Caenorhabditis elegans: one gene and its partners. The protein of the gene in region 1 binds, or shares a complex with, the protein of each later gene. Each region holds a gene or a part of one and is shown in the gene's direction. Other genes may lie near its edges. The genes, in order: lin-52, lin-35, lin-9 and dpl-1.

Region 1 (3,602 bases):
ACCTCCTCATCAACATTCTTCTCACCTGTCTCGGGATCATCCCAGGAATCATTCACGCGTGGTACATCATCCTTTGCAAGGAGAAGACTGTCGTTCAGAACATATACGTGCAGACTGTAAGTGGATAGTTGGAAAAAAGATTAGCCAAAAGGAAAAAGATAGTGATTTGTCAAATTTCAGAACAACAGATACCCTTGAATCTTGATAAAATGGTGACTTTTTTTTTGAAATTTATTACAAGGGGGTCGGTTTCTTGTCCATGATTCATCCTACTGTTTCCTTTGTTGTCTTTCTACAAAGCTTAATAAATGTTTAAATTAAAATTATTTCAGAATGACCACGGAACCGCTCCACCAGCTTATTCTCCTTATTCGGCTTAAATGCTCACGACAAGACACGTTCCTACTTTGCGCTCCACGACATAAATGTATTTCTTTATCCTTTGTAAACCTTTAATTCACCCCTTGCAATTTTGACTTATTGTCACAGGTCCATGATCAAAAACTGTATCACTTGCCGAATTTTCTCATTCTAAGGCCTTAATGAGATTGTGTTCATTCCCTCCATTGAAAAAATAAATCATTCCTCTTTTCGATATACATTGTTTTATTTATCACCATTTTATGATCTATCGGTGCTTTGTTCCGATCGATTTATTTTTTTTGTCTTGTTTGTTCGTTTCTTTTTTTTCTTTCTTGCTTCTTTTTTCTTTTTGTTCTGTGCCTTCGATGACACCGCACCAATATATCTAGCAGAAACAAGTCAGCCCTCAAAATGTGCTGCTCTGCGTCTCTTTTCATTTTTACTTTTTTCGATGGTCTCCGCTCGTCTATCCATCACGTGTCTCTGGCGCCAACGCAAATGTATAAATACGAGTATTTGAATGAAACTGTCCGTCTGCTGTTGATTCGCTAAAAATATTCAGGCAGATTTCTATTCTTGAAAAAAAGCCTGAAAACGTTACTTTATTTCTCACTTTTGTAGAGCTTTTCTACAAAAACGCACTCTCATTTAGAGTTGTTTTTCATTCTCCATTGATTTTTCTCATTTTCGACCTTTTTAACATTTATTATGGCTGATAAACGCAATATAAGTCAGAATATTAAAAAAAAAAAACGAGAAAAATCAATAAAGAAATCTCTACGCCACACAAATTCCACACAAATGCGCCCTCCTTTAAACTCGTTGAAAATTTTTAACGAATTTTTCTGGTATTTCTCAATTGAAGCTTTGTTTAAATACTTTTCAGCCTTATTCCTAATCGAAAATTTCAAATTATCGATTTTAAACATTTACACTTGTAAATAGATTTGATCTTCGTCAACACTACGCGCGCCAAAATTTAGATTTGTCACTATCGTCCTTCAAATAAACACACTCCAATCGTTTCAAATGCTATTCAATCGGTTCTTTCACAGTTTTGTTTTCTTGGCACTCTCCTCCCTTTTCTGCCTACTTCTTTCTAATCATGCAACTGCCAATCATCGTCCATTTCACTTTGATAACACTTGTTTTGGTCATTCTTGTGTCGGTTCATTCTCTCATTTTTGTGTTGCTTACACGTCTCTAAGCTTTATAATAATTTTTTGTTGCAGAAAATTACCAACGAGATGTCGTCGACTGCTGAAGAAATGGCTGCCGCATTCGAGCAAACCGGAGGACCGGTCAGTGCAATGCATATATTGTATTTAAACTGAATAATTTCAATTTTAGGATCTCACCACTGGAAGCGGAAAGCGCACCAAGTCTGACAGAGTGGAGCACAAGCACGCATCTCAGCCAGGAGGGGACACTCGCAAGGTTGTTCAAACCGCCAGCAACGGAGAGGCAAAGAGAAAAGAGAAGTGGTGCGTTAATATGCTACCGTGTTTGCGGACCATGTTCCTATTTTTGATTTTTCAGAATCATTCTTCATGTGACTGCCCGACACTATTTCTCTATTCCACCACCGACTGCCCACTGATTCATGTTTTTTACCTTGTTTCTCGTTTCTTCATTATTTTTAACCGTATTGTGTAAATTTAAAATTTGTAAAGTACCCACCGGCTAGGCTGTCTAGCAATCGATTTTTTTTTGTATTTTATTGTAAATTCCCGAGTAATTTTCTTCACATCCCGTTTTTGTTCACATCAAATAAATATTTGTTTTGTGAGAATTATTTTTTAGAAGAAGAAATCAATACAATTACTTCATTGCGGCCTAACGTTTAATTCGTCACAAGCTCTATACTTACTCAATTCTAAACATTTAAATTCTGACATATAGCGGTAATTTCAGGAAAAAAATGTCGCGTCCGCTAGGATTTATTGGATACGAATTTGGAGATGACGAAATGTTCGTCCAACAAATGATCGAAAAGAAATCAAACGCAGAACAGGCGAAAATGCTTGGTTGGTATTATATTGTAGAAAAGAAAGATTCTTCGAATTTTAAATATTTTCAGAACAACAGAAAAAGATGCTCGAATGCACCGAAACAATGCCAGAAGAAAGTGAGCCAGTTCCAATGAAATGTCTCGATTTTGAAGAAGCATTTCAAAGCGAATCAGTATCAAAAGGTTACGAATCGCCATACAAGAATATTTCGTTTCTCAAGGAAGATGCTGTGACTGTTAATAGTTCGTATTCATATTGTTCCATATTCATTTCAATTTTTAACTTTCAGCAATGAGCCACTGCCCAGCCGACGATATCGCCAAGCTCATCCGAAACATTCAAAACTCGGTGTACACTCTTGGAATCGAAGAAGCTCGCCAGTGCCGACGTGGAAAGTTGCTCAACGTGCTGAAACCCACTGGCTCGGCTTCTCCGAGATATTTGCAGCCAACACCACCGAAAAATGTAGCGGAAGAAACGACAGGAAGCCAGTGAATTGAATAGTGGTCTATCAAAAAATAATGATCTCATCATTCATTAACATTCACATGAATAAACTTGATTACTAACAGAGCACAATTAGAAAGTTGGCAAATCACATAATCTCACAGTGAGAGTTTAAAAAACGAGGCTGGCAAAGTTTAAGGCAATTTTTGAAATTTATAAATATAAACGTTTCTACAAATTGTTGGCAATCCATTCGAGAGCTTCCGGCAATCCTTCTCCTTTCACAGCACAACATCCATTTATCTGCCATTTCCGAGCACCTCGTAATGTCTGGAGACCGAGTTGTGTGGATACTTCTGCTGGATTCATTGCTCCGGGCAGATCCTGTTTGTTGGCCAAAACCAGAATATGAGCACGAGCAAGATCTTCATGTTGAAGCATATTGTGCAGTTGTTCTTTCATAATTGGAATCCTAGTGGTGTCGGAACTGTCAATAACTGAAAATAATTTTAATTTTAATATCATTTACTAAAAGTTATTCATACCAACTATAACAACATCTGTTTGAACATAATAAGTACTCCAAGACTTTCGTAGACTCTCCTGCCCGCCAATATCCCAGATCACAAAATCTAAATTTCGATACGAAACTTCTTCGACGTTGCTTCCAATTGTTGGCTTCGTTTCAACTTGATCTTTTGTCACACTGAATTATAATTTTTTTTTTGGATTAGAAATTATTTCTAAATTTTTAAAAGTTATTTAATGTGTTTTTTTTCT
Region 2 (5,029 bases), on another chromosome or scaffold:
CAATTGAACAGTCTTTTGCATCACTTGATGATAGAAAAACTTTTGAAACCAAAGCATGCAGAGAATTCATTTCCGTCTGTAAAAAAACTTTAATTTAATCCAAATCGTTTTTAAATTAACAAACCTTCAAAACCGTAATAAGATCTTCTCGTTTATCCTCAAATAATCGATCATGAGTTGTTGCAATCAGAGTGAGATTTGGAATAAAACTCTCAGAAGCTTTATCAACGAGATCCAAAACATCCGAATGATTTGCTGATAATTCTTTCAAATCTACTCTTAAAGATTGTTCTGAACACGTGAGCAACACTTTCTGAACTTCATCTTCATCTCTTCCAATTGTTAATAATAAATCTACAGCTTCTGATACTAATTCTGCACCAGAAGCCGGATTTCGCAGTTGATCCATTAATTGATTTTCCGTCATATCATAAATTTTCTTACTTTTTTGAAGAACTAATTGAACTGTTGGAACGTCTTTATACTGCGATAGTGACTCTTCTGCTAATTTGAACATTCGAAGAACTTCTCCATAGTTTCGCTCATCGAATTCACTCTGGAAGTTGTTTAGTTTGATGCAATATGAAAAAAAAGTTTTAAAATTAAAAATGTTACCCGCAGAACATGAGGAAGATCGAAAATATGCTTCAAACTATTCACAACTTTATACGAGCTTCCCAATTGTAGAATATCGTCACGTTTTTCGCCCAAAACTCCGTCAAGATTCCCAATTAGAGTCGATATTGTCGACATACTTCGGCTGAGAGATTTCATTTCCTGAAAATTAACATTAAAATTGTCTGATTTTATTATTATTCGAAAACTAACAGAATCGAGTTGCGTGAATTCATCTTGTATTTTTCGAACCGTATTTGTCGCAGTCAGAAATTTATTGTAATTTTCGTAGACTATTTGATGTACATCTGAATCAAGCCTTCTCACAGCTGAAACCATCTCCTCCTCTTCTTTTACTAATCCATCAAGCGACTTTTCACGGAGTAATCTGAATTAATAATATTTATCAGTGCATATCTCTGAAAACTAACTTGACGACAAATGCTTCGACATCAAAATCCGGCTTTGTGACGTCCAAAACACTAGACATTTTACATTCAATACTGAAAAATTAAAGAAAATTCAGGAAAACTCGAGAATGAAAAAAAACAGATTTGAGACACCATCAATACAAAGGGAACGAAATTTGGGGGAAATGCTGGTTGCCGAAAAAATAAGTAGAAGGTAAGATGTGTTCAACTGGAACATACATTTTCTGAATTGCAAACTCGATTTCTCTCACATTCACAATTTTTAATCACATTTAATGCTTCAGTTTTAGAAAGTTCTGAAGTATCCTCTTCTTCCTATTCAGTTTCTCAAAATCGATGGTGTCTCCAGGACGTGCACAAATGCGCTCTATTGCGAATTGTGGAACATCATTGCGCGCGCGACTAGAAAAAAATGAGCGCGTTCTTGAAAATTATTTTGCTTTCTCTAATTTTAAACGATTTCGATTACATTTTATCTGAACTTTCTTGGGTTTAATCGAATAAAAAACACAAAAATATTCTTCAGACTGGTAAAAACTTCTTCAATATGCCGAAACGAGCAGCCGATGAGCCTGGAACATCAACAACTGACCCATTTCACGAGCGTAAGCTTTAAATGATTTTATTCAAAGCGTATAATTATACTTGTCTGGAAAGTGAGGCGTTATCAAAGCTAGTTTCTCCGCCGCAGTGAATAGAAAAACTGATTAATGCAATTTGCGCAGGGTTCGATTTTTTCGAAATTTTTTAAACAGCGTTCAAGATTTTACTTGCCTTTCCATCAGGGAGAGAAATTTTTTAGAACTCAGCCTCAAATTACCGCAAATAAATTTAGATATTAATTGATTTATTTTCAGAAAGCCCATTCGATGCCGTGTTAGCCGGCACGGAGACAACGGATACAATATGTGAAGAGCCACCAGCAAAACGAATCGACTTAGATATAAAGCAAGGTATGGGGTTTTATAAATATTAAATCTGATTATTTTCTCCTTTTCAAAAATATTAAACAAAAACAAGGGTTTGCAGCCTCATGTGATAATCTAAATGACTGCTTTGTTTTACATATTAAGAGCATCCTTCGTTTTTCCAATAATTTTCTCTATGAAGATAGATATTCCCCAGTTCATTATCACCTTTATCACAACTCGCTATCATCTCCTACTTATATAGGAAATTATGAAGTTATCAAGCGCTCAGTCACCTGACTAGTTAAGAGGTCACTAACAACAATAGCTACCAATCAAGCAACATTTTTATTATTGCACACAACCACGAGCAAATGTCAAAATATACATAGAAGACAGAGTGAAATCTATTGAAGAACGTCACTTCGGACTGTTATATGTCCTGGTTCAACCACGTCACTATATGCAGGCGGCCGAGAAGTTGCACGTGGTCGGGTTGGATCTTCATCATTTGTAAACGCCGAATTGTCAGCTCCTGTTGGTTCACTCTGAAATTGTTACAGAGTTTTAGTGATGTCATAGGGAAAGAATTTTAGAGCTCATTCTGGCTCGAATTTGCTGGAAATCGGAGGTTTCCCAATAATAACCATTTTTCTGATATTAGTATTACTTTTTCGACTACAAGCGCTCCGTAACAAAATTTAGCGGGTTATTTGAAGTTAATTATAATCGCATTAAGACGTATTTATCTAATGCAGCTTATAATATAGAAAGAATAGCTTAGTTTTATATTATTGATTAATGAATAGTCGTTGAAACGGATTTCATAAAGCTTCAAAAAATTTTCAAAACTCACATTGGCAACTGTCAAAATCGGTGTCGATACGAAAGAACCACTCCTCGTTGATGCCGACGTCGTCGAACTCTCGCTATCAACAGGTTGTTGTTTTGTAGGAATCGGAGGAGCAGTTTGACTTGACATTGGTGGGGCGTAGGCGGTATATCTTGGTGGTGGTGGCATACCACTGGGACTCATTGGTGTTGGTACAATGTATTGAACATTGTAATTTGACGCCTGATGTTGAGGTCTGAACCATTGAATGAATATTCATAATTGAAATAATGGACTCACAATCTGTATGCATTTCTTCTGAGGAAGTTGTAGAGAATCATCATATATCGCATTTGGACGAGTGCAACAATAATACTAACAGTTAGGAAGAAACATGAGATTATAACCATTTCTAATTCTCCAGTTGTCATTTTTGGAACACATCCCTTCGCAGTGGTTACATCCTTTTGGTTATCTTCAAATCAGTTTCTTTATTCCGGAAAATTGTATTGAAACTAACCTGGATTGCAAATGTTATCATTGTTATCCGATAAATAAATACATGCAATAACTGCTCCCAGGATCAAGAAAAACACCCAAAATGTGTACATTGACTGAAATTGATAATTATTTCTCAAAGTGTATATTAACGAGAATATTGATGCTTCCATAATTGACTAGGAACATCGAATCTTGTGAGTTATATTTAAAACGTACTAGATATAACATGTAAGCAGTGATATAGGCAATTTTTCTACGCTTTGCACCAGTTGATAGAACAAACATCATGGCGCTTCCAATAGAAATCTCGAAAACGTAGAGCACAAATGGAGATGGATACAAAAGTCCGAATATTTGACATATCATGAGAATGGATCCGAGAATTCCAACAGCTCCCTGAAAAATGTTCAATCCTTGCTGAGATTCAAAATTTCTGAACTTACACCAATTGGAAGTCCACAAAATACCCTTGGCTCCGGTTCAGCAGCTATCCGCTGTGTTGGCTGATGTGGTTCAGCCCGTTGTTGCGGGTGCTGATACGGATCCGTCGTTTGAGAAGACTCGGTTGTCATGGTTCTTCTGGAATCAATACAATTTTCTTGGCTTATATGGTTTATAAATGCATTTGTGTGTGTCTGAGTGTGCCAACAAGAGACCTCTACGAGAGAAAAGAAAAGGAGAAGCAGAGTCGGGGAGGTGACATACGACTGATATGGTCGATGTCACGACAATATGATTCTCTTTTTCTCCCCCTTTCAATTCTTCATGTGTCGGTTGAGTAAATATTGCATGAAACTGTAGAAATGAGGGCATTGGGAGATAGAGAGAGGGACGTTGAAAATAGAGAAGAGCACTAGAATCAGCTGAGAGTATGTGGAGAAATAAAGAATGATAAGAACGTTGGAAGAAACTAGAACAATTTTGGCAGCTTAGTTTCGTCGTTACTTGATTTGTCACAATTAAATATGGATAAGTTGAGAATCAAGGATGCCAAAAAATATTTTTGACAAAAAAAAACAAAAAATTTCTTGTTCAAATTTCGTACCAAAAACAAAAAAAAATTGGATTTTATTTTTCTCGCGATTTAAAGTTAAAAATTTCGAAATTTTTTTTTGGTTTTTATGATATTTATACAATTGTATTTCTATAGAAATACCGAAAAAAAATTGGTGACTTATCGAATTTGTTTTAATTGGAAAAATATAATGGATTCAATTCGTTCTTTAAAAATTATTGGAAATTACTTTAAAATTGAAAAAATTGAAATTTTTTTCATTAATTTAAAAACTGACATCCTTGGGTCAATTCATTGCCATCTGGATAAATTTCCTTTAATATTGTAAATCATTGAGTGTTTCCAGTTGTGTAGGTCTCACTATGAAGAAACTATGAAAGAGGAAAAAGAAAATATAGAAAACCCATAAAAGTGGGAAAAAAACGGAAATTCGTGTTCTCCGTCGAAAAATATCACAATTTATGGGCTTATATGTGTGCGGGACAATGAATTCAATGTAATATTATTACTATGCACATCAATAAATTCAAATATAGCTGGTATCCACTCTTTTGGGTTTTTTCTTTTCGATATGCACCTATGGGAAAAGTATCAAATTTCAAGACAAATCAGTGGTTTTGTTCACGAGAGAATTTGCCTAGTTTCAGAAGGTTTATGAAATATCAATTAGTATTAAGAGTACACAAAATTATAGGATTTTTTGTTGAAAATTTAAAATGGTGCTTCT
Region 3 (6,407 bases), 920 kb from region 1:
CTCACTTCGATAGATGCCCGGTTGTGGTGGCTCCTCGCCGGGAGTCACGTAATCACCCATTCTAGTTGATTCTGTAAGAATTTCCATGAAATAATATGAAGATTTCAAAAATAAGAAGGAAAAAAAAATCAAAAACGCTTCTTTCGAGAGAAAACATTTAAGAAAAGCACGAGGCTAGGAGCGAAGGCCTCAGGACCGAAGACCAGATATTGACGGAGAGGGATCGATACGGAGCAGCACTGAGCAAGAAGAGAGCATGCGCTCAAACGTGCTCCATTGGAATATCATGAAAAAAGGGAGAGAAATCTAGAAAAAACTAAAGAAACAATTTGCGCAATCTAATCGATCAGCCGACACGTCATCGACATTAGAGCGTAATTCTCCAGGATCTAATAGCTAGACGCAGAGAAATAAACTTTCAGATGGCGAATAAGAAAACCTAAAGGAGATGAGGAAGAAATGAACAGGACAGGTTTTAAAAGAAAGAAAATGTCTGATTGTCTGCCTCATTCACCGCAATGTTTGAACACTGAAACCATTTGTAAGCAGTGTTATAGGATGGAGAAACGTAAACATTGGGCGACTCACATTTCGTGGATATTATGAAATTCAATCGATTCGATCAAAAGGTTGAGAGAAATGAAATAATTGTAGAGCAGTGGGGGAGATTGAGTGGTGATAACGCGAAAAAACGATAAGATTACGCTGCGAGAGGTCAACTTTGCACAAAAACTTCAATTTTGATGCGGAAATTGTATTAAATTTAAGAGAATTGTTTCTTTGCAAAAAGATTTTATAAATAGTGTTTCAAAGTAACATCAAACCATAGAATCCAGATCCAGAACGAAAAACGCTGACTAAAAACACTAAAGAAGAATATTGCTTTGAAGAAAAAACCTGTGAGATGTTTTCGGAACAAAGATGAGTGATTGAAGACGAAATATTTTTAATGAAAAGTTTATTCTACAATTTTAAAACTTTGCGGCCAAAATAAATTTTGGTAAACACTTAGTAGGAATGAACAATTTTATAATGTTTCTTGCCAATAAGGAGAGAAATGAATCATGAGAATGGAAAGAGAAGAACAATATAAACAAAATAATTCGTTTTAAATGCGGAAAGGAAGAAAAAAACATGTTTCACCGCATGATCTTGTGTAAAACCATGTTTAAAATTTAATGATAACCCAGGAAAGATGGAAAATCAATACAAATAAGAAATAAAACAAATAAAAAAAAAAAAAAAACTTTCACGAGAAAATCCAAAAACGGAATGTCACGACGTTCGACTGTCAAACAGCAGCTCTCCCTTTTTTCCGTTTCCCACCACATTCACTTCTCTCAGCTGTGTTCTGTTTTCCAACAGACAGCGCTCCACCGTACCTCGCTACACTGCCGCAGGGCAATCGCGTCGAGACCATCACGCTGTTTGAAATCGGCTGTTGGTTGGGGAAAAGAACCGCCATTTCAAAGTTTTTTTCGCGCGCGCGCGTCCGCATTCTTTCATTGATTTTTGTCTCGTGGTCTGAAATTATTCAAAAATTTGTTATTTTTCAGATAAAAATGTCGTCTGCGGTGAGAAGTCCGCGGAAAAAGGCAGCAAGTGACACGTCTGATCCTGTAAGTTATTGGAAATATTGATTTTATTGGGTTTTCGTGTTTTTAAAAATAAAGAAGTTGTAAATTAAAGAAAGATATTGAAAGTATGCATGACATTCGGTATTTTCAGGATCGCACCAGCTCACCATACAGTCTCCGTGAAACATCTAAAGTTCCATCGAGATATCGTAATGAAGAACTATACCTATCACCGTCTCGCAGTATCAAACGTACCGGATCTCCCAAAAAGTAACAAGCTGTTCCGAAAAAGTGGCCGACTAATCTTATGATTTTACAGATCTCCCGCGAAACGCCTGAATGGAGGTAGAGATTCTCCTTCAGTGAACTCATTGACCCGAAACTCAAGTCTAACAATGCTCGCAAAGGCAGCTCTTGATTATGAATCTTCCAGTTGTGCTTTGGAATATATTGTAAGTTTTAAAACAATTGTATTGTTGTCATGTCTCCAAGTTCCAGCCAAAAGAAGAACGACGCCCTCCACGCAGAGCTCTTGCTCTGTCTCCGCCTCCAGCACCAAGTAATGATCTTCTCGCAAAGGATCTGGAGATGATTGAGATGCATCAAAACCTTGTAGCAGGTCTTGATGATTTAGATAATCCTGCGAATATGACAAATGAAGCTGTAGAACATCGAGATACACAGTCATTCTTCAACATGTTCAGTACAGATCAAGAACGAAGTGCCATGATGAAACAATTCAAAACGTATAAAAATCAAACAAGTGAAGATGTGAGCACATTTATGAGAGCTAATATAAAGAAACTCTACAATTTGCTCCGATATAAGAAAGCTCGTCAATGGGTCATGTGCGAGTTCTTCTATTCTGCAATCGACGAACAAATTTTCAAAGAAGAAAACGAGTTTGCCACAATTATCCGCGAATCTTTCCCAAATCTGAAAAATTGGAATTTAACGCGTATTGAGTGGCGGTCGATTCGAAAACTTCTCGGAAAGCCACGTAGATGCTCGAAAGTGTTTTTTGAAGAAGAAAGAATGTACCTGGAAGAGAAAAGAATGAAGATTCGAAGTGTCTATGAAGGAAGTTATCTTAACGTAAGGCTGAAGAGGTGTATCATTTTCAATAAATGTTCTTTCAGGATCCATCGATTGATCTAAAAGATCTTCCAGCCAAGCTTCCACGTCCAATGGTGGTTGGAAATCGTGTATTTGCGAGAATTCGAAATCCCTACGATGGAATTTATTCTGGAATTATTGATGCTGTCATTCCGAAAGGATTCAGAATTATTTTTGACAAGGTTTGTAAAAGGAGACTCAATATCACCCAAAACGCCCGAATTTTGTAACGAGATGTCTTAAAATTTCGCCACAAACCTATTTTCAGCTAAATTCGTGAACTTCGCCAACTTGTCCATTTTGTACATGCTGGAATGCAATTCTTATTGCATTTTCAACAGTTATTGCATATTTTAGTGGTTTATTTCGCTTTAATTCTATGATTTAGGATCACTTTAAGTCGATAGACACCAAAAATATCAAAGTAGGATTCTTATCGACTTAAAATGTGCTCAAATCATCGAATTACTACCAAAATATGCAATAAAAAGTGTTAGGAGAAATTGACAAAATTTAATGATTTAGCTGAAAATAGGAAGTCTTTGGAAATTAAGACGTCCTATTACTATATTCGGTAGTTTTGGATCATAAATTATTTTGTTTTAGGGAAATTTGAATATTTGAAATTCTATAAATTCCAATGTTTTATTCTTTCAGCCAGATATCCCACCAACACTGGTTAGTGACACGGAAATACTTCTCGACGGAAAACTTGATTTGTTGAGTATCGCCTACTTCATTGAACAAGCCAACTCTAAGCTTCCATCAGGCGTTCGTCCATTTGTAGCAGCAGTTCGTGACTCATCACATCCACATCTTGTTCGTGACGTCCTGGTTTCTCGAAAAATCGAGAGAAGTGGTGGACCATTAATGGGACCGAACGACGAACGATTAAATGGAAAAAATGCAGAAATGGTTGGAAATTTCCCGCTGAAATTCCTTGTGAATCTTGTGAAACTGACGAAATTAATTGATATCAAAAAGGGATTGATACGACAATTGAACGAATTGAATGCGGATGCCGAGATACAAAATATGACGTCAGACAAATATTCGAAAGCTTTTCAGGTACATTTTTAATTAGAAATTTTTTTTGATATATGAAAAAGTCAACTAGATAGAATCTAAAAAACAATTTTTTTTCAGGAGAAATACGCCAAAACTATCATCGATCTGGAACATGTGAATCAGAATATAGATATCAATATGAATGGAATTCAAGATCACCATATGTATTTCTCTTCGAATGATGTAATTTTTCATTTCCTGATTCTTCGAAAGATCTATTTGTTTGCAGATTTCAACGTCAAATATGAAACCTGAAGCAGTTAGACAAATGTGCTCTCAACAAGCTGGAAGATTTGTAGAGCACTGTAATCAAGGATTAAATGTAGAGAATGTGCATGCGTTGACACTTATTCAATCATTGACAGCTGTCCTTTTACAGGTTTGTGGCACTATAGACTGCAGAATAATAATTTATTAATGAAAAAAAAAATTGAAAATGTAAAAATTCATTAGAAAATAAACTTCGGTTTTTACCAAATCCTCTTTCCTAATTTCATTATGGGACGATGCAAGTGAATTTCTCGTCATTTCTCGACACATTTTTTGCAATGCAAGTGTGCGGAGAAATGACGAGAAATGTCGTGAAATTCGCAATTTCTACGCGTTTCTCGACATATGAGATGTGTCCTCGCAGGGTGGTAAGACATTTCACCCTGTTAAAAGTGCGGTGAGTAGGCGGAGTTTCCTGCGGGGACACATGTTTCTGCGTATCTCACCGTTCATCATATGTCGAGAAATGCGGAGAAATTGCAAATTTCACGACATTTCTCGTCATTTCTCCGCGCACTTGCATTGCAAAAAATGTGTCGAGAAATTACGAGAAATTCACCACGTGTTTTCAGCTCGACCATTCGGTGTAATTTGTGCAAACACCGTCACGCGCTGCGGTGAAATTCCTCTTGGCGAATTCAAATATTTTTTCCCGCCTTTTTTGAAAATTTTCGAGGCGTTGGTCGAGCTGAATACACGTGTTCACTTGCATCGTCCCATTAGAATTAATTACAAATTACTATTTTACAAAAAAAAAACTAAAATTGTTTCCTAGAATTCAAAATTACCTGGTCATCGGTAAAACACTATTAAAAAATTTTTTTACTGCAGAAAAATATTAGAAAAAATATTATATTTTTCCAGGTTCGCACAATGGGAACTCAAAAGATCTCTGCAGTTGATCTTCAATCACTTGGTGACGCCATATCTGAAATTCGGACCGCTATTCACCCCCGCAACGTGGCATTCTTCCAAGACTACGTTGAAGTTCATATGAAACAATTTCACACAATTATGCTCGAAAGTGGAGCACTAGCTGGAACTGTATCGAACAGAAAATAACTAAAAGCGTCTCATTTTGTCCAAAAAAACGCCAACCGGTCCCGTCAGTTTTTGTTTTTCTGAATATTCTCAGTTCTCTCATCTCTGCTCTCTCTCTCTCCCCACCTTCTTCAATCACTTTGTGTCTTTTCAAAATTGTACCCGATCATGAGACACATCCCCATTTTTCTTATTTTTTAAAAGTAGTTCAACCTTGATAATTCGAATGTGCCAAAATTCTATTTTCTTCCTCATTGTCATCATCATCATCATCAGTTTTCGAGAAAAACGAGCCAAATAACGAAACCCTTGTCAGTTATACTCCACTATTTTTTATTTTACTGACTGTCTAGAAAATAAATAAAATTTTAAAGTTTCAGGTGAATTTTCATTTTATTATGTTTGCCAGCGGTGAGAAGATATTAGCCCGGACACAAAAGTGAGCGCTAAAAGTACGGTAACTGGTCACGACAAATGTCTGTTAAATACAAACGGATGTGCGCCTTCAAAGATTACTGTAGTTTTAAACTGTCTTTGCTGCGTAATTTTGATCAATTTTTATAGTGTGTTGCGCGCCTTGCTTCGTATTTGAATTCCATTCGCATTTTTTGCTGTTTTGCTGCTAATTTCTTTATTAAATTTATCACGAATGCGTTATTTCGGAGCTTCGTTGTTTCGTTTGAAAGTAAAAATAAAAATAGGAGGAATCGTGGCGAGACCCGCTCCCTACGAAATCTCATGTCCCTTTAACTTTTTGCGCCAAAAAACGAATTTCAATTTTTTTAAAAGTCATTTTTAGCTTTTTTTCTTAATTTTCTTATTTTTTAACAAAAATTTCACTGAAAACCGACAAAAATACATTTAAAACTGTTTAAAAAATTTGAAAAAATAGTTAAAATTTAAAAAATTTCTGTTAATCTTTTATGAAATTTTTGAATGTTTCAAGTACATTGATATCATTCTTATATTTAGCTGCAAAAATTAACAAAAAATCTATTTGCTTCTCTCCGTATTTCTCCATTTCTCTGGTATTGCTCCAAAATCAATTTGATTATTTTTTCAAATACAATAAATACTTTTTTCAGCATGGTAGATCAGTTGGAAGCCTCTATCGAGAATATTCTCGAACAAAAAACGCTAAAACGGATTTTTGTAGCCTGAAAAGGTGTCGGAAAGACGACAGGCAGTTGCTCATTAGCAACGCAACTCTCAAAAGTCCGTGAGAGTGTTCTAATCGTGTCCACCGATACCGCCCACAAAATCTCGGATGCCTTCAGCCAGGAATTCACTAAATTTCCAACACTGGTCGAAGGATTCAAAAATCTCTTTGTGATG
Region 4 (5,426 bases), on another chromosome or scaffold:
ATGAAACCTGATTATTGATAGGAGAAAACTTACTTCTGATCGTCATTTTTCCATGTCAAATTTTGGGGATCAATACTAATTTTTTGTTTTCTCTTCGGCTCTGCCAAAATCGACATTTTCCAAAAGAATTGAAGCGTCGATAAACCCTAAAATCACAGGAATTGAAATATAATTAGAATGATTGTATAAATAAAATATTACAGTGTTCCGAACACTGGTAAAATCAATAATGTTAAAATAAATTGGAGCAAAGAAGACACTTTTATTTCAGACAGACAGATCAAATAAATTACAACGAAATCATACAGAAAATAGTCATCGAACCGTTTTAATGAGAATTTTACATTTTACAACACATTATTCTCCCAGTAATTCCAACACCCAAACTTCGCTCATTCCAATCATTTTCATGGGTGGTCCTTGATACAATGATCCTGCCATTACCATCAATTGACCTCCAAATGGAATCTCATAGAGTCCATAAAAGTATGGTAGAAGCCAATAAACTACTGGAATAACTACGTAGAATTGTCCTGCATGAGTGTGTCCAGATAAGACAATATCAATTTCTGATAATTCTTTCGGATGATCTACGATGAATTCTCGAATTGATGCCGGATTGTGTGCCATGACGATTTGAGAAGTATTTGATGGACATCGATGGATGGCTTTTGGTAGATCCATTTTAGTGTTCAAGATTCCAGATTTCGGACTTGAAATATCGTTTACTCCAGCCAAACAGACTCCTTTCAGCATTGTACTTCTGAAAAATATCACTGTTACTTCCAAGAAAAACTCAAAAACTTTGTAAAACTTACTCGTTTTCAAGAACATTAATACGGCCATTTTTGTAGAATCTTATCCATTCCTGAACGTCTCCATAATAATATTCATGATTGCCAGTTACGAAATAAGTAGGTGCGTGAGCAGGGAGTTGACTGAAAACAAAAATTGAAATTTTGTGAATCAAACTAATTCGCCTACAGAATTGGTCGAACTCTATCCTCGATTTCCGCAACAGGAGCATCTACCATATCTCCAACAATCAGAATAGCATCAACTGGATTTTCAAGCACTTTTTCGACAACTTGATTGATTTGTTCCGAATAAACACTTGCACCAGCGTGCAAATCAGAGATCACTGCCAATTTTAATCGATTTCCATCAGCAGTGAAGTTTTTTATTTTGATGGTCTTTTCTTTGACAACAATCCAATCGCGTGATATAAACATACTGACTGACAGAAGCAAGGTGATTATCATTGTGAATCTGAAAATAACATTTTTAATGATAAGTTCCGAAATGAGATGTTTTTTGTTACTTTATTTGAGATCTTCTTTTCCACATGAGATCGTTAAAATAAGGAACCTTTCCTATTATTTCCAAAATCGAAGCGGTGTAATGGAACATCTGAGAAAATTTTTTTAAAATAATTTAAATATTATTGAAATTAATATTACCTTCATTTTTCCAGCATAGAAATTAACAATCCCAAATCCACATACGAATGCAATCATGTTAGTCCATATTCCCGCGCAGATTGAGGTGAGATCGAAGAGAAGCCACTGAAATGCAAGAGACTCTTTTAACAGCAACACAATTTCTAAAAACAAACCTGGAGAAATGCTGGGGCATAATACATAAAATAAATCGCTTGTCCGAGAACTAGGAAAATAATAAGGCCATCCGAGCATCGTTTCCGGATTGTCTGAAATGAGAATAGGTCAGTTTTTGGTGAGAAGAAGATTTAATCGATTTGAAGAGAAAAATAGTTATGGTCTTTGAAATCGTAGCAGGAAAACAAAATAAATTTTTATTTAAAAGCAAATTCTTGTTTTGCTAACTTTTTCCAACAAGAATATTGCAATTTGTTGAAATTTCAGTGTCGAACGAAAAAAAAAGAAAATTTTGTTCAGCAACAACACTCCGCCTTGACACCTCTCGCGTTGTTTATCGTCATTGATGGGTCTCGCAACGCACGGCGCGTCTTCAAATTTGGGTTTTTTCTGTTTTCCTCCATCTTCCGAATATTATTGATTTCTCTCACGTATTGATCAAAAATTGTTCTGGTTAACGTTTGTATTGCAGCGTTCTTAAAAACCGATAAAATTTAGATTTAGAACAGAAAAGAATCAGTTTTTTACGATGGCAACAAAATATCATTCATTATTCTTATAATTAACACTTTTCGTAGCTTTTCTCGTAATCAAAGTCATCATTTACAGATCTAAGCAATCGAAAATCTTGATTCGTCCAGGCAGGTCCTGTAGAAATGAACCCGGTTTGTAAAATAAGAAATCGATATTATATTAAACTAACATTTGCAGACAAACTACGATCCCCGTATCGGCCAACCGGCACAAAGTCGACCACAAGTATCCCTGAGTATGGGAAGACGAATTGTTCAAATGCCTACAGGTCTTCCTCGTTCATACCAAGATGAGAGTCACAATGAACCTGTGGGCTGGGATGAACCTTCGGGAGTTGGAGGATCTAGTGGAGCAGGAGGTCAACAATCTGACAAACCAACCGGACTCAGACATTTTTCCACGAAAGTTTGTGAAAAGGTGAAAGAAAAAGGATTGACGAATTACAATGAAGTGGCTGATGAACTGGTAGCAGATTACTTTCAAAATAATCTTATCAAGCAGATTGATGTTGTGGTAAGAAGTTTGTTTTTCTTCTTTTGAAAAAAAACTTTTTTTTTCTAGAAACAAGAATACGATATGAAAAATATTCGGAGGAGAGTATACGATGCGTTGAACGTTCTTTTGGCAATGAATATCATCACAAAAAGCAAGAAAGATATCAGATGGATTGGACTTCCTGCTTCAGCTTCACAAGAAATTTCGAGATTGGAAGAAGAGAAATCGCGACGGGAAGCCAGCATAAGTTCCAAAAAGCAGGCTCTCGAAGAAATGGTATTGCAAATTGTTTCTTACAAAAATTTGGTCGAACGGAATAGAAAAAATGAGCAGTACGTTTGAGTGTTAAATATTTTAGAAAAGTTAAATTTTCAGCAAAAATGGTCGCCCAGAAAACGACACTGTACTTCATCTTCCGTTTTTAATAATTAATACTGATAAAGAGTAAGTTGAAATTCCAAAATTATAATAGTCTCAAATATCTATTTTTAAGAGCAAATGTGGAATGCAGTGTATCATCAGACAAATCCGAATTTCTGTTCTCGTTCGACAAGAAGTTTGAAATTCACGATGATTTCGAAATTTTAAAAAGTAAATTTAAATGCCAAAAACCGATAAGATCCACATTTTTCAGAGTTGAACCTTGCATGCAGTTTGGAGACTACAAATCCCACAGCGGAAGAAGTCAAAACTGCGAAAAGCTTTTTGCCAACCTTACACCAGCACTATGTCGACGAAATCATTGCCAGTAAGTATTTCTTTTTAAAAATCAATCATGGAAACCACAATTTTCAGACCGTAAAAAGGTTGAAGCAGAAAAAGAGGAAAAGAGAAAACAACAACAGTTGATTGCTGATCAAATGTCTATGAACCTCTCACAAGCCCAATACGTTGAGCCGACAAGCTCTTTGGCGCAAATGTCATATTCATCGCGATTCAACAGACAGCTTCAGGAGCATTTGATAAACGATGGAAGTGAGGACAGAAGTGGTAAAAAAGTTTTTTAAAAACATTAAAAAAATTGTTTTTTCTAGCTGCTGCCGGTATAATGGAACGCGATTATGATATGGATAAGAATGTTAATCAGGGATCAGCCAGCCGAGGGCCAATGTATAATACTTATAGTCCACAAAAGATTCGAGCTCAAGTTAACACGCCTCTTCAAGTACCACCCGTTACCAAACGATATTACGTACAGAAGACACAAGGACCAATGAAGGTTTGTTCAAAATGAAGATTTTTCAGTACAACTAAAACATTTTCAGCATGATATGACTCCCGTCGTTCGAACTGTCAATCGGCCGTACTCTACTGTACCTCCAGATCGCAGGCTCTCAACTGGAGCTACTTCTGTGAATTCAGGACCTGTAAAATACTACGTGCCACAAGGACATCAACCGATGCATCAGCCAGTTGGTCAGAGATATGTAAGTTCGTTTTAAAGATTTCACAAACTGATTTTTCTTATTTTTCAGAGAGTTCGTCCACAGCAACCACAAATGAGTCATATGGGTCAGCCACATCAAGTGCAACAGAGAGTTGTCTATCCTGCTGGAAGCATTTCTGGACATCAGTTACAACCTGGACAACGAATCGTAACTCAGCGAATTGTTGCTCCAGGTGGTCCACACCCGCCGGGCACAATTGTTCGGAAAGTGATTCGTAAAATTGTTGTCAACAATCCAAAGCAATCTCCAGCTCAACAAGTTATACAAAAGAAAATGATGGAGCAAGGTAATTTAAATTTGCCTTAAATAATTTAAATAATTTAATTTCAGATATGTGCACATTTGAACGCAAAACGGAACAGCCGATGACTTCTGCGCAGGCCGCTGCTCTCATTCAACACCCTCAACCGGAGGAATACGATTATTTCCAGTAAATGTTTAATGTAACTAGTTGTTATCCCCCTTTTCCCAGTTTTTAAAGGTTCTCAAACGATTCTCATCTGCTTTTAAAATAGTTTCTATACGAGTTTCAATTTTATTTCTAGACTCCTTTAAAATCCCCTCTTCTTTAATCTTTAAAATAGTATAGTCTTCTTCGTCGATTCTATTCCGACATTTGCCAGATTAGAATTGACGACAGATTTCATAATCTACCTTTTACATTATTATTTTGTGTTCAATTTGACATTTTGAAATATGCTTCTTATATGCCCCGACTTTGACAGCATTATATGTAACTCAATGCTCCCGATTTTACCATCATTTTTTATGAAAGAATGATAGATTATAATTTTTAGTTTTACCTGCATTTTTCGGCGATCCAACGATTTCTCCTTGACAATGTCATCGTCGAACCATCTCATCAGCTGGCCGTATGCAAACACATTTAACAGAGTTAAAATGCACTTTAATTGGATTAAATTAATTAGATTTTTTAATTAGAAGAAGCAACTCACTTCAATGCGGAACACGGCAATGACTCGACGGCGGTTACCAACTAAATATCCTTCCACTGATTCAATCTGGAATATGATATCTTATAGAAAAAACTGGGCTTATGTAAATCAACTCACCCAAAATCTTGAGCAATACGTGAGCAGAATCCAGGAGATAACCGAGCCAAAAACGAGAAATCGCTCGAAACTCATCTGAAATTGAAACTGCGAAGACATACTCACTCGAGATCTTTTTTCTGATCGCTTTTCCTGTTTAGCATAGAATTGTCAATGTTCTCTCTCAGTTTATCGCCCAAACTCATCTCCTTACATCCGATTTCTATCGGGAGAAGGAGAAAATTTAGAGAATGACCATTTCAAAAGTACGTGGAAGCGAC

The links.
Region 2: lin-52 (region 1) and lin-35 share a complex: the UniProt entries of both Caenorhabditis elegans proteins name them as parts of the DRM complex.
Region 3: lin-52 (region 1) and lin-9 share a complex: the UniProt entries of both Caenorhabditis elegans proteins name them as parts of the DRM complex.
Region 4: lin-52 (region 1) and dpl-1 share a complex: the UniProt entries of both Caenorhabditis elegans proteins name them as parts of the DRM complex.

Annotation. Positions count from the first base shown.
Region 1 is NC_003281.10:9,823,426-9,827,027, reverse strand, and holds lin-52 (Protein lin-52), read left to right. Parts: upstream 1-2,277; 5' UTR 2,278-2,284; coding exon 2,285-2,390; intron 2,391-2,443; coding exon 2,444-2,617; intron 2,618-2,664; coding exon 2,665-2,870; 3' UTR 2,871-2,945; downstream 2,946-3,602. Other genes in the region: UPF0057 membrane protein ZK632.10, read left to right, coding at 1-116, 333-380; ZK632.9 (uncharacterized protein), read left to right, coding at 1,611-1,664, 1,714-1,847, 1,903-1,903; arl-5 (ADP-ribosylation factor-like protein 5), read right to left, coding at 3,054-3,319, 3,368-3,528. UniProt on the Caenorhabditis elegans protein: Synthetic multivulva class B (synMuvB) protein. SynMuvB proteins are required to repress the induction of vulval development by Ras signaling and probably act by forming the multiprotein DRM complex that represses transcription.
Region 2 is NC_003279.8:5,806,137-5,811,165, forward strand, and holds the start of lin-35 (Retinoblastoma-like protein homolog lin-35), read left to right. Parts: upstream 1-1,572; 5' UTR 1,573-1,593; coding exon 1,594-1,651; intron 1,652-1,903; coding exon 1,904-1,999; intron 2,000-2,284; exon of another isoform or gene 2,285-2,361; coding exon of another isoform or gene 2,362-2,502; intron 2,503-2,810; coding exon of another isoform or gene 2,811-3,042; intron 3,043-3,086; coding exon of another isoform or gene 3,087-3,261; intron 3,262-3,306; coding exon of another isoform or gene 3,307-3,400; intron 3,401-3,503; coding exon of another isoform or gene 3,504-3,683; intron 3,684-3,730; coding exon of another isoform or gene 3,731-3,859; exon of another isoform or gene 3,860-3,866; intron 3,867-5,029. Other genes in the region: vps-51 (Vacuolar protein sorting-associated protein 51 homolog), read right to left, coding at 1-76, 125-556, 616-777, 829-1,003, 1,047-1,105; C32F10.4 (uncharacterized protein), read right to left, coding at 2,362-2,502, 2,811-3,042, 3,087-3,261, 3,307-3,400, 3,504-3,683, 3,731-3,859. UniProt on the Caenorhabditis elegans protein: Key regulator of cell division which acts as a transcriptional repressor and negatively regulates cell cycle progression in its active unphosphorylated form, but allows cell cycle progression when phosphorylated.
Region 3 is NC_003281.10:8,899,281-8,905,687, reverse strand, and holds lin-9 (Protein lin-9), read left to right. Parts: upstream 1-1,556; 5' UTR 1,557-1,562; coding exon 1,563-1,619; intron 1,620-1,728; coding exon 1,729-1,847; intron 1,848-1,896; coding exon 1,897-2,029; intron 2,030-2,069; coding exon 2,070-2,672; intron 2,673-2,716; coding exon 2,717-2,875; intron 2,876-3,350; coding exon 3,351-3,761; intron 3,762-3,839; coding exon 3,840-3,944; intron 3,945-3,990; coding exon 3,991-4,140; intron 4,141-4,895; coding exon 4,896-5,093; 3' UTR 5,094-5,450; downstream 5,451-6,407. Other genes in the region: unc-32 (V-type proton ATPase 116 kDa subunit a 1), read right to left, coding at 1-60. UniProt on the Caenorhabditis elegans protein: Synthetic multivulva class B (synMuvB) protein. SynMuvB proteins are required to repress the induction of vulval development by Ras signaling and probably act by forming the multiprotein DRM complex that represses transcription.
Region 4 is NC_003280.10:9,167,685-9,173,110, forward strand, and holds dpl-1 (Transcription factor dpl-1), read left to right. Parts: upstream 1-2,225; 5' UTR 2,226-2,272; coding exon 2,273-2,281; intron 2,282-2,327; coding exon 2,328-2,663; intron 2,664-2,711; coding exon 2,712-2,977; intron 2,978-3,020; coding exon 3,021-3,089; intron 3,090-3,138; coding exon 3,139-3,236; intron 3,237-3,279; coding exon 3,280-3,393; intron 3,394-3,440; coding exon 3,441-3,635; intron 3,636-3,679; coding exon 3,680-3,864; intron 3,865-3,910; coding exon 3,911-4,072; intron 4,073-4,120; coding exon 4,121-4,379; intron 4,380-4,423; coding exon 4,424-4,527; 3' UTR 4,528-4,881; downstream 4,882-5,426. Other genes in the region: T23G7.3 (G-patch domain-containing protein), read right to left, coding at 34-116; T23G7.2 (Calcineurin-like phosphoesterase domain-containing protein), read right to left, coding at 358-763, 819-938, 985-1,269, 1,322-1,410, 1,461-1,565, 1,616-1,708, 4,897-4,998, 5,050-5,115 and 1 more. UniProt on the Caenorhabditis elegans protein: Synthetic multivulva class B (synMuvB) protein. SynMuvB proteins are required to repress the induction of vulval development by Ras signaling and probably act by forming the multiprotein DRM complex that represses transcription.